Macaca fascicularis: one gene and its partner. The protein of the gene in region 2 purifies or fractionates together with the protein of the main gene of each other region. This does not show direct contact. Links are inferred from orthologs where the notes say so. Each region holds a gene or a part of one and is shown on either strand. Other genes may lie near its edges. The genes, in order: NOP10 and NAF1.

Evidence for each region.
Region 1: the proteins of NAF1 (region 2) and NOP10 purify together in Homo sapiens (co-immunoprecipitation; 6 studies listed by BioGRID and IntAct, with this or other methods). This does not show direct contact. The link is inferred for Macaca fascicularis from reciprocal best matches to the Homo sapiens genes NAF1 and NOP10.

Annotation. Positions count from the first base shown.
Region 1 is NC_088381.1:10,628,641-10,632,159, forward strand, and holds NOP10 (H/ACA ribonucleoprotein complex subunit 3), read right to left. Parts: upstream 1,995-3,519; 5' UTR 1,915-1,994; coding exon 1,861-1,914; intron 957-1,860; coding exon 816-956; 3' UTR 568-815; downstream 1-567. UniProt on the Homo sapiens protein: Required for ribosome biogenesis and telomere maintenance. Part of the H/ACA small nucleolar ribonucleoprotein (H/ACA snoRNP) complex, which catalyzes pseudouridylation of rRNA.
Region 2 is NC_088379.1:168,081,998-168,085,821, forward strand, and holds part of NAF1 (H/ACA ribonucleoprotein complex non-core subunit NAF1), read right to left. Parts: intron 2,490-3,824; coding exon 2,387-2,489; intron 1-2,386. UniProt on the Homo sapiens protein: RNA-binding protein required for the maturation of box H/ACA snoRNPs complex and ribosome biogenesis.

The DNA of each region.
Region 1 (3,519 bases), on a different chromosome or scaffold from region 2:
GTGGGATTACAATCCCAGCACTTTGGGAGGCTGAGGCAGGAGAATTGCTTGAACCTGGGAGACGGAGGTTGTAGTCATCCACCACTGCATTCCAGCCTGGACAACAGAGTGAGACTGTCTTAAAAAAAAAAAAAAGCCCACCACTAAATCAATGAGTTCAAAGATAAGTTAATAAGGAGAAAAATCAGACTAAACAGGTTAAGTAACTTTCTCAAAGTTATACAAAAAGGAAATATTGGTCTTCTTTCAATTCACTGCCTTCTCTCTATAATATACCTATTACTTTTTCAAGTACTCTTCCATTTTTAATCAAAATGTTATTTCAAGGGATGAGAAATTACGTGACAACAGGGGTATTTTTCAGTGAATGCTGACAGCTGTGAAAGTCTTAATCTTTCTTCCCCAATACCCTCCTACCACTAACAGCACATGACCACTCTTGCTACAGGACTGAAGTTTTTCTTCCAAGTCGTATTGTTGCAACTCTCTGGAGTACTCTCGTCCATCATCTCCCTCCCTTTAAAACAATACTACCAATCCTTTCCTCCAACAACACAAAATAAGAGCTTTTCAAATCATTTTATCTTTAATAATCTGGTAGTAACTTAAAATACGAAAAAAAAAGTCAAACGTGTTCCCTTTATGGGTGATGCCACCATGACTGCCTCACACAAGCATGCTCAATCACCAGGATGAGATTGGATGCCACAGAGTATGGCTGGCAAAAAGGCATCAGGGCTCACAGACTGAGGAGTTTGGTTACGGAGTCTCCGAGGGGTAACAGGCCGCAGAATAGACATCAGTTTAAGGGGCCTTCAGAGGACAGGGCGCGGTTGCTGGGTCATGAGCACCTTGAAGCGTTTCTTGATGGTGATTCGGTGTCGAGAGTATTTGTCATCTGGGGAGAACCGAGCAGGATGGGCTGAGCAGGTCTGTTGTCCCATCGGGTCAAATTTCTGCTCCGGGAATAGAGAATGAATGTCAGTACAGGAGTGATGGGGTGGGGACAGCGCGAAAAAGGGCAAACATGAAAACAGAAGATGCAATGATCAGCTCAAAAAGTTGTACAAATAAATAGAGAAATACAAAACTTAAAAAGGCTGGGCGCGGTGGCTCACGCCTGTAATCCCAGCACTTTGGGAGGCCGAGGCAGGAGGATGGCTTGAGGTCAGAAGTTTGAGACCAGCCTGGGCAATATGGCGAAACCTCGTCTCTACAACAAACAAACAAAACCAACCAACCAAACAAAAAAACCCTAAACCAAAAATTAGCCAGGTGTGGTGGCGCACGCCTGTAGTCCCAGCTACTCGGGAGGCTGAGGCAGGAAGATTGTTTGAGCCCAGGAGGCGGAGGTTGCAGTGAGCCGAGGCACTACAGCCTAGGCAACAAAGCGAGTCCCTGTCTTAAAAAAAAAAAAAAAAAGAAAAAAAAGAAAAGTGAGTGCAATGGCGCTATCCGGGTTTACTGCAAGCTCCCCCTCCCGGGTTTAAGCGATTCTCCTGTCTCAGCCTCCCAGGTAGCTGGGAAAACAGGCGCACGCCGCCACGCCCGGCTAATTTTTTGTATTTTAGTAGAAACGTAGTTTCACCGTGTTGCCCAGAATAGTCTCTAACTCCTGAGCTAAGGTAATCCACACGCCTCGGCCTCCCAAAGTGCTAGGATTACAGGCGTGAGCCACTGCGCCCGGCCAATTTTTTTTTTTAAATAAAAAACTCGTCGCGCGCTCCCGGTTCTCCCCCACCTCGGTTCTGGACTTTCTGGTTCCCTCCACCCAGCTAGGTAACTCCGTGTATGGCCTCACCCATTCCTCCCATCTACATTTCTCGCCATGCCTATTTACAACCTGTTTTCTCTCCTCACCTTCAGCGTATAGACCCGATCTCCCTCCTCGTTGAGGTAATACTGGAGAAACATGACTGCTCGTAAGCCAGAGGTCCCAATTCGCTCCGCTGCTCCGTCTGCAGGGGTCCGCCCGACCGCGTCACGTGTTCGTCAATTTCCTTCCTGCATAGCCGGAAGTCTCTCTCCTGGCACGCCGGAAAATGTAGTCAATTTTTGCCTTATTTTCAGCTAGCCAGAAGGGGGCGCACGAGGGCAGGGCTTGGCTTGGGGGGCCACACTTGCAACTTTGCAGGCTAAAACACGTGGAGTGTGCCTACTGTGTGCTAGGTACACGGCGCTAGAGGGGGGTAGGGATGGATGTGGATAGAACATTGACGTATAGAAGCTTGTCTTTATCTCAAGATACATACCCATTTCAGGAGCAGTGAGTTTCCAGTGCCTGAAGAAACAAGGGCTCCAGGATTCAGAGCCCCTTTGCCCTAGGGAAGAAGGAAGAGGTTTTCTTCCCTCCCCTCTTTTACATCCAGTTTCCCTGCTCCATTTCAAAACGTTGGCGGTAAAGAATGCATGTTGAGTATCAATATTCCGTAAAGCGAAAATAGCGTAAAGTTATTTTATGAAACGAAGTATGTTTCAGCGGTCGAACCAAGATTTAAACTTAGGTCCCTACCGCAAATTCAGCGCTCTTTCTTACAGTGGTGAGTAGCTAATAATAGCGTAATAAAGTGCACCTTCTAGGAGATTTTACAATTTTTTAAAGAATATAGAAGTTCTCCTTATTCGTTTAAAGAAATGAAAATGAGAACCAAAATATAATTACAAAGATCATCATTACGCCTTATTTATAATGACAAAAGCGTTGGCATATATGTTGTGTAACCAGAAAAACCTGCAAGGTTTTTTTTTTTTTAGAATATGGTTTGGCCGGGCGCGTTGGCTCACGCCTGTAATCTCAACACTTTGGGAAGCTGAGGCGGGCGGATCACAAGGTCAAGAGTTCGAGACCAGCCTGGCCAATCTGGCGAAACCCCGTCTCTACTAAAAATACAGAAAAAATTAGCTGAGTGTGGTGGTGGGCGCCTGTAGTCCCAGCCACTTCAGAGGCTGAGGCAGGAGAGTCATTTGAGCCGGGAAGGCAGAGGTTGCAGCGAGCTGAGATAGCGCCACTGCACACCAGCCTGGGTGACAGAGTGGCACTCCGTCTGAAAAAAAGAATATGGTTTGTGACCGGGTGCAGTAGCTCAGGCCTGTAATCCCAGCACTTTGAGAGGCCGAGACAGGTGGATCACAAGGTCAGGAGTTCAAGACCAGCCTGGCCAATATGGTGAAACCCCGTCTTTACTAATAAAAATACAAAAATTAGCGGGACGTGCTGGCGGTCACCTGTAGTCCCAGCTACTCGGGAGGCTGAGGCAGGAGAATCGCTTGAACCCGGGAGGCGGAGGTTGCAGTGAGCTGAGATCACGCCACTGGTCTCCAGCTTGGGTGACAGAGCAAGAGACCCTGTCCCAAAAAAAAAAAAAAAAGATATGGTTTGTATTTACTTGTAGTTGAATAAAAAATCTCTGCAATTATTCACAAGAAACAGATGATACTGGTTTCCTCTGAGATAGAGAACCTAGTTACAGGAGAAAGGGGTAAGGGGTGGGAGGCAGACTTATTGCTATGTATTTTATT
Region 2 (3,824 bases):
AAAAAAAAGAAAAAAAAACCCCTCAGCAAGACATTTGTTGATGTAGATAAGATTCTAAAATTTACACTGAAAGGTAAAGGACCTAGAATACCGATTATAATTTTGAAAAAGAAAAATAAAGTAGGAGTTATCACTCTACGCAATTTCAAGACTAACCTCACATTCCATACAAAATTTAATTCAAAATGAATCACAAGTGTACAATTTAAAACAGACTACAAAACTTTTAGGGAAAAAAAACAGAAGAAAATCATTAGGATCTAAAGCTAAGCAGGAAGTTATCAGATTCCATAAACAAAATTGATAGTTTTCCTCAAAACTAAAAAACTTTGGTCTTGCAAAAGGCCCTCTTAAAAGAGGGAAAAGACTACAGACTAGACAAATCATGAACAAACCACATATTTGACAGAAAGCGAGCATCTAAAATACACATTTTTAAATTCTCGTAACTAAACAGTAAAAATTCAGAAATACAATTTAAAAGTGGCAAAAGATAATGAACTGACATATCACTGAAGATAGAGACGGTAAATGAGCACATGGAAAGATGTTCAATGCCATTAGCCATTAGGAAAATGCAAATTAAAACCACAATTATATTTGCACTACAAACCTAGCAAAATGGCCAAAATTAAAAAGAGTGATAACACCAAATGCGGGAGAAAATGCAAAGAAATTGTCACTCATCCATTGCTGATAAAAATGTAAAATGGGGGCCGGGCGCGGTGGCTCACGCCTGTAATCCCAGCACTTTGGGAGGCCGAGGCGGGCGGATCACAAGGTCAGGAGATCAAGACCATCCTGGCGAACACGGTGAAACCCCGTCTCTACTAAAAATACAAAAAAATTAGCCGGGCGTGGTGGCGGGCACCTGTAGTCCCAGCTTCTAGGGAGGCTGAGGCAGGAGAATGGCGTGAACCTGGGAGGCAGTGGAGCTTGCAGCGAGCCAAGATCGCGCCACTGCACTCCAGCCTGGGCGACAAAGCGAGACTCTGTCTCAAAAAAAAAAAAAAAAAAAAAAAAAAAAAAAAAAAAAAAAAGTAAAATGGTACAGCCATGCTGAAAAACAATATGGCAATTTCTTAGGAAACTAAACATACAATGCAACTATTATACAACCAAGCTATTGTACTCTTGGGCATTTCTTCCAGAAAAATAAAAATCTGTTTTCACAAAAAAACTGTACATAAATATTTATAGCTGCTTTATTCCTAATAACCCCAAAATGGAAACAACCTAGATGTCCTTCAGTGGATGAATGGTTAGGTAATCTGGTAAATTCATGCCATGAAATGTTACTCTGTAATGAAGAGGAACAAACTATTATTGATACATGCAGTAATGTGGGTGGATGCACAGATTTTTTTTTTTTTTATACTTTAAGTTCTAGGGTACACATGCACAACGTGCAGGTTTGTTACATATGTATACATGTGCCATGTTGGTGTGCTGCACCCATTAACTCCTCATTTACATTAGGTATATCTCCTAATGCTATCCCTCCCCTGGTCCCCTCCCCACAATATAGGCCCCGGTGTGTGATGTTCCCCTTCCTGTGTCCAAGTGATCTCATTGTTCCATTCCCACTCATTGTTCTCACTATGAGTGAGAACATGCGGTGTTCGGTTTTCTGTTCTTGTGATAGTTTGCTGAGAATGATGGTTTCCAGCAGACGCACAGATATTATGCTCAGTGGCAAAAGCCTTTCCCTAAGCATACTATATTGTATAACTTCACTTATATAATTTTCTGGATATGACAAAATATATGAAAATGGAGAATGGATTAATGTTGCCATGAGTAAAGGAGGGGCTGAGTGGTAAGGACGTGGCTGTGACTATAAAAAGGCAACTGGGTAGCTCTCTGGTGATGGAAATGTTGTATAGCTTCATTGTATCCTGTCGATACCCTGGCTGGGATAGTGTTCCATATATAGTTATGCAAGATGTTGCAACTGGGGGAAATTGAATAAAGGGCATACAACAACACCTCTCCTATTATTTTTACAACTGTATGTGAATCTACGGTTATCTCAGAAAGTTTAACTTTTTAAAAAAGGTAAAGGGAATGCATGTTTATAAATAAGATACTGTGATTTAGGGGTTCATCAAGTACTTGATCATGGAAGCAAACAGGTATCTTAAGAAAAAAGTGCTGACAAGCACAAGTAACAAAGTTTAGTCTGTCTGTTACCTCAGGAAGCCATTTTTACTGCTTAAGTTCATAAAACTACCACACCTCCTGCTATGTAAGGGCTCTAAATGTTAGCAGGATGCTAGGAGGTAAACAGAGAAAACCTAGATGTTTCCCTTGGTTTTATTATTGATAAACTTATATAGATGCAAATGAAGATAAAAAAACGACTATATATATTGTATTCACTCACCTGGCTCATTAAATTCAGATTTGAGTTTTTTCCGGCCTTGAATCTGAGATTTTTTCCTCTGTTTGGCTTCTTTTTCTTTTTCATCATCACTGAAATCTAAGGCCTTGCAGAGAAAAGTATATAGTAAGTTTATGTTACATGGATTTGCCAATTCAATAGTACATACTTGGAGGTGAAGAAAACAAGCCTATTACTAATCATTGACTAAAAAAAGTTGCCTTTTTGATACTTAATATTTTCTATATCTGAATTAGACATGGTAGAAAAATATTTTTTGATAAATGCTTAATGACTCTTTAATTAACACAGGTCAGTAATCAACCTTCAGATATGAGTCTGACTTCCAGTTTAGACTTAAGATTCATCATAGTATCAGATGCAAAAGAGTGCCAAAGGTAAGAGTATCAAGGACTAAGTAAATTATATACATTATCAGAGCCAATAAAAAATGGAAGACAATGTTCCATAATTCATTCATTCAAAATACACATCCAAGCACTGTTCTAAACATTTCACAGGTTCATTCTTTACAGGTTTACCATCTTATTTTTTAAATATAATTTTAAGTATATAGCAAGAACTATAAATAAATGAGGGAAAATAAGGGTACACAAATCATGAGGAAGCTATTTAGATAGGACCATAGGCAAAGGCTTTTTTTTTTTTTTTTTTTTTTTGGCGCAGTGGCACGATCTCAGCTCACTGCAACCTCTGACTCCCAAGTTCAAGCGATTCTCCTGCCTCAGTCTCCTGAGTAGCTGGGGTTACAGACGCACGCCAACCTGACCAACATGGCAAAGGCTTTTATAAGCAGATACATGAATGATCCAACTCCTAAGAGGAAATTATTTAAAAATTAAAGGTGGTAAAACTCATATGCAACTAAGAATTAGGATTCATTCTTATAATCTACCGAGGAAACCAAGATTTATGAGCTATATATCTTATGACTGCCATGGTATCTACATTCCTACGTTCAGGCATTTTATTATTCTATTATTAACACCAGAAAACTTTTATTATGTTTCATACAAAAAATATATGAAAGCAGGCCCACTATGTATGGATGGATACACATTTAAAAAGAAGAAATAAAATGTATATGAAAGTCTTTGTATGTAATTTTCAGTATGGCTTCACTGGAATACATTCTAGATCAAATCCTCCATCAACAGGAATCCATACACTTCAGATTCTGAAATCTAATTTGAAAACATGAAATAATTGTATGCCTTCTAATGCACTATTTCTCATTACTGATCTTAAAGGGATAAAATTTTAAAACTCAGGTTAAATCTGGTATCTGACAGACACTAGAAAGTATGGAGATCAGATAGAAGACTCCTTTTTCTGAGAAAACAGATTAAATGTACAATGAACGAGTGCTACGACTTAATGCTATGTTATTATAGTGCTGGAAAAAGAGAAAAAAGGAAAA